Linked DNA regions of Xenopus tropicalis. The main gene of each other region encodes a partner of the protein of the gene in region 3 in a complex. Links are inferred from orthologs where the notes say so. Each region holds a gene or a part of one and is shown on either strand. Other genes may lie near its edges.

Region 1 (4,425 bases), about 59 Mb from region 3:
CTACACCTGCTACTTGTGCCTGCAACCGAATGAATGGAATACGCTCGGGTGCAGGCACATGTAGCCGATATACGCATGAAAACGCGAGGCTTTGCATTCTCTCGCGTTTTCATGCGAATATCGGCTACATGTGCCTGCCCCTGAGCGTATTCCATTCATTCGGGTGCAGGCACAAGTAGCAGGCGTAGGGCTGAAAAAATCAGCCCTACACCACGTGTGGCATCAGCCTCAGACTTTATTAAACTACAGCTTAGATTATCAATGTATCGACCTTCCCCTTTAATACAATTGTGTATGCCATCCCACCGGCGATTTACAATCTAGCCAATGGGATGGCATTTCGGGGAGATTAGCTGCCCGCGACAAGGGAGATTTGTCGCGCAGTGACTAATCTCCCCGTCTGCCATGACGCTTACAAACAAAAAGAAGCATCTGTCTCACCTGTCGGCTTGGACCTTCCTGAGGTTATCTGCAGTTAGAGGACTCTGTTTCACTACTCGAATAAACTGCTCATTGGTCAATTTTAGATTTCCGCTAGTTTCTTCCACCTGCTTTGTCAGATCCAGCATCTTACTGGACAGAGGGAAAGAGGTTGTTCGAACTTCTGCTCGTTTCCCCATGAGGTCTTCAAATTTTCCTTCCAGCTGCCTCTGTGTTTTTAGAATCTTTCCAATTTCATTTCCAACTATCTAAAATTACACACAAGACATTAGAAAGCCGACTAATTATAAAGAAAGGCAAAAACAGTCACTACAAATATTCCAGACCGAACGACGCTGCTTTAATATAAATGTTTGCTCAGAAAATATTTGTTCCCAGAGCATCTTGTATTGCACTAGATCAGGGATCCCCAACCTTTTTCCACCCATGAGCCACATGCAAAAATCAAAAGTTGGAGAGCAACACAAGCACGCAAAAAGGTCCAGGGGGTGTCTATTTTGGGCTGTCATTGGCTACTGGTAGCTCCTATGTGGTCTGGCAGCCTACAATGCTTCCAAAACTTTCCTCCAAGCCAAGAATTTAAAAATAAGCACCTGCTTTGATGCCACTGGGAGCAACATCCAACAGGTTGGTGAAAAACATGTGGCTTACGAGCCACTGGTTGGGGATCCCTGCACTAGATAATATATGCTAACTTTATAACCAGGTTACATTTGCAGGACTTTTTAGGATATTCAACATCAAAAGTTAGATTCCACAAAATACCCAATCACAGCCAAATGTTTATGGTCACTAACATCACTGCGGCCATGGTAAGATACAGGCATGATGTTTCCCAGAACGGAGAGTTGATCTAGGCTGTCCTCCAGTACAGTGCACGCCCGAAGTGCATCCAGCATAGACAATGTCATCTTTCAAGGAGTTTTACTTGACCTGCAAGGTATGAATGTGTCAGAATGCAAAGCCTTTAGTTTGCTGCAAATTGGATAAAACACTTTTTAAAAGGTGCCTACCAAACAATGCAAGATAAGCAAACACTAAGCCCCAAAAAGTTCTGCAAGCATGGATCTTTAGCAAATAAATCAAATATATTTACAAAATCATGTGCAAAGTTCAGTGTTTTGGTCACTACAGTGTAACCTTTCTTAAGGATTTCTGTATCCACACACAAACAGTGAAAATCTACCTTCCCCACCCTAATAAGCCCAAAAAGGCACCAAAAAGCTTGTAATAATTAGAATGTGCTAAGGTAAAAAAAATTATAATGCTATTATCAACCATGGGGCATAGTAAACAGCAAAAGCACAAAGGAGATTGACAAAGAGGCAATTCCTCTTTAATAGCGCTCTGTTGCCATAGCAACCTGTATGTGCAGAGCCCATACTACATTTCCCAGAAGTCTCCATGAGCCCAAATTTGTTTTAGGTGCTCATGCTTGCATTTAATGACTATTGATAAAGTTAACCTCGCACTATAGTTTAACACCTGGGTGCACTTGTATGTATACAATTAGTATAGTTCGCGAAGAGCATGTGCCCTGATTATATGTGTGTCTATGTTCTTCGCAAACTATGCATTTAATGACTAGTGTGCTGCCCAAACCACTGCTAACAACTCATATGCACAGAGACAAATTTGAAGATTTGAAATACCATTATAACAGGTATGGATGTTTTCATTAAAAAAATTTGGGTTTCATGTTAAATTTAAAAATTACTTTGACTTTATGTCTGGGTGGCAGGTCCCCTTTGAGCCAATAAGGAAACTCCAAACACAGTACTAACAATAGCATTTCCAGATTAAGAACTGACCAGGGAAACCTAGAACATTCCATTGCACCATCCTACTGAATGCAATTTCATAAGGAAGTATATAAGATGGATCAATTCAGATGTTTTCAAAGACACAAATGTGTTTATAACGGACAACTGGGTGACTTTTTCTTGCCCAAATGTGAATGCAAATGGGTTGGTGTATGGATTGGAAGGGCAGCTGAGAGTGGACACTGGTAGTATTGGAAGAGGGGCATCCCTACATAACAAACTGCTTACTTTTCTTGTAATACAACTAAAGGATAATGCAATTAGAATTTTATGTTTTATCCATTAAAGTATTATATCCAGCCAAATAAAAAGCATTTACTATAGAACAGGGAGCCTGTATCTTAGCCAGTGTATGTTTCTTAAGTCCCTGTATTACTACTACTCAGGTATGGTAACGTCTACCAAACACACACTGCATCCCTTTTTACCCCAACTATGTAGCTATATGCACATTCACGTACAATGTAAAATATATAATGCCAATACAGATTTTGCGAAAACTGATTTGCAAGTTACCTGTGCGTCAGAACACCCAATGTTTACATACAGTTGCCATGGGGATCGTACCCTGCCCGAGAGTCCTTGCGTCCTATTCGTCTTCGTACCGCCGGTTATATATCATTTTTAACATTTATTGCATTTATCTCACGATTTTAGATTTAAAATCAATTCTCTTAGAGATCATAGTTCATTGCCCTGAAATTGGGTTTAATTTATTTTTTTTTTTTACCCTTTTACATTAGGCAGTCACATGGACACCTCACGCATGCTACGTTCATAATTTCCCGTCATGCAAAGCGCTCCCCCTTCCTTTTCCTCCATCTTGGTTACCAGTGCGGGTGAGCTTAGTGTATAGTCAAATATTAATACTGAAAAATGGACAGTTAAATGGGTCGTATGAGAGAAATACCGACATGAACGGGGACGTCTACTTGAGCGTTATTTGCCGGGCCTGGCTTTGAGCCTGTGGGAGACGGGATGTTTGGGATACGGAGAGGATTGCATTGGAGCTAGGCTGATAGGATTTTCCCATTGCCGGCTTATTTTCGCAGCTGTACAACTGCAGCAAACTTGTTTTCGAGTTGTTCTTTTGGCGACAGTTGTGCCAGACACCTAAGGAAGTTTCCCTTCGCTGAGAGGCCGAGTTTTGTGTAGTAGTTGTCCCTTAATACAAACGGGGAATAAGCTTGGCTAATTGAAGTGCTGGGCAGCTTGGCTTGTACTTGTCTATAGGTTTTCTGCCGCCACCTATTCGTATAGTTCTATTATAGAAGTCAGCTGCTGCTGGAAAGCCAATTTAGGATCGTAAGTCCTGCCTTTGTAAGCGGGTAATTGTGGGGTCACTCGGGTGTGTGCCTGCTGGAGATGTGCTTCCTGATCATGCTTTTTGCTATTGCAAAGTCACACATGTTAAGGGAAAATGTTTGTTTCATATGACATATTTGGAAAGATGTTTTTATTGTTCATTTAAGAGAGGTGTCATAAAGATAATATTGATCTTGTCCTAGATTTTCTTTAAAAGGACAAGTAGTCTTATTTACTAGGGGAAGCAATATGTTGGCCGTGGGCATCTTTCTAACTGTCACACCACCATCTATCTGTATTTACCTGGATCCCTTGCACAGGCACAGTATAGGTACTTTTTACTGCATTGTGCACAGGTAAGACTATAGGTATAAGGGCTCCTGGGAAATGCAGGTAAGATTGTGGCGTGCCTCTTGGAGAAAAAGATCCACCTCTTTCTCTTTAAATGTTAACCCAGAATAAGGTCTCCAATACTTGGAGTGAATCATTAATACTCTTAATGACATAGTGTTACATGTGATTGCAAATGAAACTGTCTGCATAACTGTGTATGCATAACTGTGTATGCATCACCAAATGTTTTTAGATAGTGTTATGGTATTTGTGAGGTTCCATTTGCCACTGTTTGTATCTATTTCCTGTGACATTTCTCAGGGAAAGTAATTAAATCAAACGCAATATAATTAAAGCACATAAAGCTTGCAGTTTAACAAAAATATTTCTACGTCTTTTTTTTTTTTTTTTTTTTTTTTTTTACAGTCCTGCCTGCATCTGGACATTAGGAGAGCAACATGTCTGGAAGGTATGAGCAATATTTCTAATTCTGTATCATAGTAGTAAAGCAATTATTTACATG
Region 2 (4,420 bases), on a different chromosome or scaffold from region 3:
AATAGTCTGAGTCATAGGATTGAAAGATGCAAAGGCACAAGAAGAAAATAATTTTGGAGAAAAAAACTACCATGTGCCCCTTGAAAGGTTCATGTGGAATTTCAATCCTGCAAACTAATACATACTAATAATTGCCAATGCACAAATTATGGCCTATGTAAAATATTAAATTAATATTGAAAAATTAGCACCACACATCCCCCAAAATATTTAAGTTTACTTGTCACACTAAGGCCCCTCATTATATGTGAGTTCTTCACTGCCTTATTTTATTGTAAAACCATGTTCTCTTACCCTTAGCACAGGAACACTAGTGAGACTAGTAGGGAAGGACCCCACCTAACATAACTATACACCTATGAATGAAGACTATATAAATAGCAAACAAATCTTAACATGTATGACCACCTTAACAAAATTAACTGAAATAGCTTAAGGCCATGGTACTAAATATAATTCAAGATGATGACAGATGTGCTACTTGTTCCATATTATTGCTAAATCATTTATAATTTAGATGACTAGATTAATGTTTACAAACTGTCCAGTAAATTAGTACAACAGATCACACAGAATATTGGAGAATATTGCCTTGAGCTCCACACACTGGGAAATCTGCGGGTGCACATCAAGGCTCTTTGCTGTCCAAGAAGGCAGATCTGATGCTTCCAACCCCTTATGTTTCCATCACCTGTACATACATTTTCTTCTCTCAGACTGGGTATTGGTCAGCGGAGATTGCAGTTGCATGTAAATGGAGAAAGCTATTGGGAATTCTCCATGTAAAATTACAGGAGTATTTTTTGCCACCCCTGGAAAAGGAGAGACTTCTCACCTTGCCTTATGGCAAAAGGACCCATGGAAACTTGTGTCCACTGGATGCAGTTTAGAGGATTTGTACCCGGTTTTTAACTGAATCTGAATCCTTGAAATACAGGGCTGGTGGCAACCCTACAGCACAACAATACTTAAATGCAAAGAATTTCACTGGACTATAATAATTATAATTGATTTTTTTGTGCAAGACATAAGTACACTATATATATATATGTTTGTGTTTATATATACTATGGGGCACATTTACTAACCCACGAACGGGCCGAATGCGTCCGATTGCGTTTTTTTCGTAATGATCGGTAATTTTGCGATTTTTTCGTATTTTACGATTTTTTCGTAAAAACGCGAGTTTTTCTTAGCCATTACGAAAGTTGCACAAAGTCGCGATTTTTTCGTAGCGTTAAAACTTGCGCGAAACGTCGCGCCTTTTAAGTTTTAACGCTACGAAAAAGGCGCGACTTTGCGCAACTTTCGTAATGGCTACGAAAAACTCGCGTTTTTACGCAAAAATCGTAAAGACGCTGAAAAAATCGAAAAAAATACGAAAAAATCACAAAATTACCGAAAAAGTCGCAAAAAAAATGTTCATTTCCAATCGGAATTTTTCCAATTTGGATTCGAAATCGTGTCTTAGTAAATCAGCCCCTATATGTATAACACAGAAGTGCCATGAATATCATATAATTATATCCTTAAAAATTATGCTTAGTGATGGCATCAGTTATAACGATGCTTAATGATGTAATTTCTGACACATGGCTCACTGAAACTTGTGTATTTATAATAACTAAATGTATCCACTGTTGTAAAATAAGAGGATATAAGAACTCATGGTCACGAAACTCCTCTGTGGAATGGCTATCCTTATATTTTAAAAAAGAGGGTACATTATTCACTATATATATGTGTGTGTGTGTGTTAAGCAATATTATAGTAAAAATCAGACAGTGAAAAATGTTGCATTGTATTAATAAAAATAGTTTGGACACCAATCTAGTGCTCATTTATGAACAAAAGTGCAATGCTCTAGGAACAAAAATGTATATGCCAGTATAATAGTTGGCACTCAAAGAACAGCATGCTCTTCAGCTTGTGATTTACCACGGCAGGTTTATATTAGAAAACATTTGGATTCGGTTCAGCCAGGAGTGTGGATTTGGCCGAATCTTGGCTGAATCCCTAACTGAATCCTGGATTTGGTGCATCCCTAGAAATTAGTTTTGTGTGTTGATGTAACATGTAAAGAAGTCCTAAAAGTAACACCTCCTCAACTTCTGTATAGTTGCGCCAAGCACCACTGTGTCATTCCTCATCCTGCTTATTGTGATGAACCAAAGTGCAATAGAATTGTGACAAAAGAACTAAACACTAACGTAATTTTAATGCTGACTCTCGGAAGTGATGCAATCCTAACTCTTAAAAAATGTTAGCTGCACTGCTCAATTCTGTTTGTTTTGACACAGCATGTGCAAGTTGCTGTGTGCCCACAATTAAGTTTGAATTAAAAAACATGGTGATTTGCATCAAAAACTGCACGCTGAACTTAAGGTTGTAAATGACCTCTTACATTTCAATCCATTGCAAAGTAGTTTTGCAGCATTGCATAGTTAGGAGCCATTCAACCCTGCTCTGTATGCTTATCATAAGATATCCTATATCTGATTACCTTTCGTTGCAAACTGATTATTTTCTGATTCTGTCTCTCATTAGATGCAGGTATCCAGTCAGGCCTAGAGCAACACTGAAGAGCCTGAGGATAGTGGAGACATAGCAACTGCAGGGGCTGCCCATGATAACGATGCCATCTTCCTTTTCCACATGCTGCCTTTCCAAATACGCAACTCTATAACATACTGTATTTTAAACAGCAAATATCAGCAAGTGGCCCTTACCTGCAATGAATCCTGTTCAGCAGAACAACAAAGTGATATTCACTGAGAAATGCTTACCCAGCAGGAAGACACTTTAAGATCCTGCCCACAAACCTTGCCCAGCCGATTCAGAGAGAATTGTATACAAAAGGTTGCTAGGTTTCTGTAATGGTAACAAAAGATGTATAACAACAAGGTACCGGTAAATCTCTGAGAAGAGACAAAAACAAGAAATTTGTTAATGCAAATCACCTTAATAAAAAGAACAAAACAAAACATATTAAAGATTCAGAGTCTGAACTTAAAGGTAATCTATACCCGTAAAATGTTTTTTGTATAATGAAATAAAAAACATCTCTATGCTATCCTACACTCCCAGCTTTCCATTATGTGTGTATAAGGTATTTATAGTAGAAATATCATTTTCAGTAGCAATGACATTTACAAATAACTTTAAGGGTTCTGGCACACGGGGAGATTAGGGCGACTAATCTCCCCATGTGCCAGAGCCCTAAGACCGCTGAACATTTGAAATGTAATGTATAATGTAAAATTGCTTTAAATTAAATCTTCTTAAATTATGCTAAATGTTTTTGGGTTTAGATCCTCTCTGGGTAAAGACACGTGGAGCTATTTAGTAGCAGCTACTTGTGACGGCTACTAAACCCCAGAAAATACCCTGCCAAAGACAATACTGAGAATTGCCTCTGCTAAACCACACTTAGGGGCACATTTACTAATCCACGAACGTCCGAATGCGTTTTTCCGTAATGATCGGTATTTTCTGCGAATTGTCAAGACTTTTTCGTCGCCGTCACAACTTTTTCACAAATTGTCGTGACTATTTCGTCGCCGTCGCGAAAAAATCGGATTGGTTCAATACGTATTGCTCAATACAAAAAAACCGCGATGGCGACTAAAAAGTCGCACAAAATATGATAGCCGTGACGGCGACGAAAAAATCACGCAAAATACGAAAAAAAAACGCGATGGCGATGAAAAAGTTGCAAGATTTTCATTTCCAATTCGATTTTTTCCCATTCGGGATTCGGATTTGTGGATTAGTAAATGTGTCCCTTAGAGACAATTATCAGTAAATGATCAGTATTGGTTATTCCTGTAGCCATGTCAAGTAGCTGATACTAGGCGCTCTGAGTGTCTTCAACCTTACAATGAATTTTACAGAACCTTCAGTATAAGACTGCTTACATGTGTGCAAAAAAACAGGTGTAACTACTGAGGAAGCAGATGCTGTGGTTGCAGGGGGGCCCAGTAGTGTAGAGGGCCCAATAAGTCATTCATTAATGAGAAAAGGTAAACTTACCAAAGTTTTGGAGTCCTAAACTGTGTGCACACTTGGAAATAAGGCAGCACATTTATTATACTATTTTGGCTTACTAATGCCATATATATTATAAAATTGCTTCATATCTTTTTGTACAGAAACATTGGTTGTACTGAGAACCATTACGTGTTATTGGTTTCTCTGCTTCTCACCAGGGAACAACTGTAAACCACACTGACGTGCAGTGTGAAAAAAACAATTTTAGACAAAAGTCGCGGTGTACTTTACTTACAATGCAGAACACCAGAAATGAAGCCAGCAAAGAGAACTGTTTAAAATTGCACTTGACTCACTGCACTTGTGGATGTACATGAGCCCTTAGGTGTAGGCAATGCAACTGCCATGTTTTTTTCCAACAATGCAGCAT
Region 3 (2,310 bases):
ATGGCGGCTGTTCCTGCTGAATTGTGCTTAGTACAGGGGAATCCCTATGTGCCATAGTTTTATGGTATCTCTCTGTACAGGCTATGGGCAAACTTAGGGGGCTGTTCCTGCTGAATTGTTCTTAGTACAGGGGAATCCCTATGTGCCATAGTTTTATGGTATCTCTCTGTACAGGCTATGAGCAAACTTAGGGGGCTGTTCCTGCTGAATTGTGCTTAGTACAGGGGAATCCCTATGTGCCATAGTTTTATGGTATCTCTCTGTACAGGCTATGGGCAAACTTAGGGGGCTGTTCCTGCTGAATTGTTCTTAGTACAGGGGAATCCCTGTGTGCCATAGTTTTATGGTATCTCTCTGTACAGGCTATGAGCAAACTTAGGGGGCTGTTCCTGCTGAATTGTGCTTAGTACAGGGGAATCCCTATGTGCCATAGTTTTATGGTATCTCTCTGTACAGGCTATGAGCAAACTTAGGGGGCTGTTCCTGCTGAATTGTGCTTAGTACAGGGGAATCCCTATGTGCCATAGTTTTATGGTATCTCTCTGTACAGGCTATGAGCAAACTTAGGGGGCTGTTCCTGCTGAATTGTGCTTAGTACAGGGGAATCCCTATGTGCCATAGTTTTATGGGATCTCTCTGTACAGGCTATGAGCAAACTTAGGGGGCTGTTCCTGCTGAATTGTGCTTAGTACAGGGGAATCCCTATGTACCATAGTTTTATGGTATCTCTCTGTACAGGCTATGAGCAAACTTAGGGGGCTGTTCCTGCTGAATTGTGCTTAGTACAGGGGAATCCCTATGTGCCATAGTTTTATGGGATCTCTCTGTACAGGCTATGAGCAAACTTAGGGGGCTGTTCCTGCTGAATTGTGCTTAGTACAGGGGAATCCCTATGTGCCATAGTTTTATGGTATCTCTCTGTACAGGCTATGAGCAAACTTAGGGGCTGTTCCTGCTGAATTGTGCTTAGTACAGGGGAATAGTGCATGTAAGGATAATGCCAGGGGTACCCGCTGCACAAACCTTGGTTTCTGGAACTCCATAACAAAAGCCTTGATGGCCCCCAGAACCTCATTGGGATGGATAAGCCCTTGGGGTCCATGGCTCCCCCCTGCGCTGCTGTCAGCGTTGGATTCTCCCGCATCTCCATCTTCATCCTCAAACCAAAGCACAGAGCAGTGAGCTGGCTTAAAGGGCAACTAAACCCAAAGTGCCACGTGTAACATTCAGCCAGGCAGTATATTCCCAATGCTGTAACTTGCTACAGGGTAAAACCTAAATGTGTAAGGGCAACGGCAACTGGGAGGTTATGGGAATTATTAGGGGAGGTTATGGGAATTATTATGGGAGGTTTTGGGAATTATTAGGGGAGGTTATGGGAATTATTATGGGAGGTTATGGGAATTATTAGGGGAGGTTATGGGAATTATTAGGGGAGGTTATGGGAATTATTATGGGAGGTTATGGGAATTATTATGGGAGGTTTTGGGAATTATTAGGGGAGGTTATGGGAATTATTATGGGAGGTTATGGGAATTATTAGGGGAGGTTATGGGAATTATTAGGGGAGGTTATGGGAATTATTATGGGAGGTTATGGGAATTATTAGGGGAGGTTATGGGAATTATTAGGGGAGGTTATGGGAATTATTATGGGAGGTTATGGGAATTATTATGGGAGGTTTTGGGAATTATTAGGGGAGGTTATGGGAATTATTATGGGAGGTTATGGGAATTATTAGGGGAGGTTATGGGAATTATTAGGGGAGGTTTTGGGAATTATTAGGGGAGGTTATGGGAATTATTATGGGAGGTTATGGGAATTATTAGGGGAGGTTATGGGAATTATTAGGGGAGGTTATGGGAATTATTAGGGGAGGTTATGGGAATTATTATTGGAGGTTATGGGAATTATTAGGGGAGGTTATGGGAATTATTATTGGAGGTTATGGAATTATTATGGGAGGTTATGGGAATTATTAGGGGAGGTTATGGGAATTATTATTGAGGTTATGGGAATTATTAGGGGAGGTTATGGGAATTATTAGGGAGGTTATGGGAATTATTATTGGAGGTTATGGGAATTATTAGGGGAGGTTATGGGAATTATTATTGGAGGTTATGGGAATTATTAGGGAGGTTATGGGAATTATTATTGGAGGTTATGGGAATTATTATGGGAGGTTATGGGAATTATTAGGGGAGGTTATGGGAATTATTATTGGAGGTTATGGGAATTATTATGGGAGGTTATGGGAATTATTAGGGGAGGTTATGGGAATTATTATTGGAGGTTATGGGAATTATTAGG

What was found.
Region 1: drc1 (region 3) and iqcg share a complex: the UniProt entries of both Homo sapiens proteins name them as parts of the nexin-dynein regulatory complex. The link is inferred for Xenopus tropicalis from reciprocal best matches to the Homo sapiens genes DRC1 and DRC9.
Region 2: drc1 (region 3) and ccdc153 share a complex: the UniProt entries of both Homo sapiens proteins name them as parts of the nexin-dynein regulatory complex. The link is inferred for Xenopus tropicalis from reciprocal best matches to the Homo sapiens genes DRC1 and DRC12.

Annotation. Positions count from the first base shown.
Region 1 is NC_030681.2:100,505,611-100,510,035, forward strand, and holds the start of iqcg (dynein regulatory complex protein 9), read right to left. Parts: upstream 2,919-4,425; 5' UTR 2,781-2,918; intron 1,375-2,780; 5' UTR 1,353-1,374; coding exon 1,239-1,352; intron 690-1,238; coding exon 442-689; intron 1-441. Other genes in the region: rpl35a (60S ribosomal protein L35a), read left to right, coding at 4,361-4,371. UniProt on the Homo sapiens protein: Component of the nexin-dynein regulatory complex (N-DRC), a key regulator of ciliary/flagellar motility which maintains the alignment and integrity of the distal axoneme and regulates microtubule sliding in motile axonemes.
Region 2 is NC_030683.2:80,326,192-80,330,611, reverse strand, and holds the start of ccdc153 (coiled-coil domain-containing protein 153), read right to left. Parts: upstream 2,919-4,420; 5' UTR 2,730-2,918; intron 2,680-2,729; exon of another isoform or gene 2,504-2,679; intron 1-2,503. UniProt on the Homo sapiens protein: Component of the nexin-dynein regulatory complex (N-DRC), a key regulator of ciliary/flagellar motility which maintains the alignment and integrity of the distal axoneme and regulates microtubule sliding in motile axonemes.
Region 3 is NC_030681.2:159,590,764-159,593,073, reverse strand, and holds part of drc1 (dynein regulatory complex protein 1), read right to left. Parts: intron 1,158-2,310; coding exon 1,024-1,157; intron 1-1,023. UniProt on the Homo sapiens protein: Component of the nexin-dynein regulatory complex (N-DRC) a key regulator of ciliary/flagellar motility which maintains the alignment and integrity of the distal axoneme and regulates microtubule sliding in motile axonemes.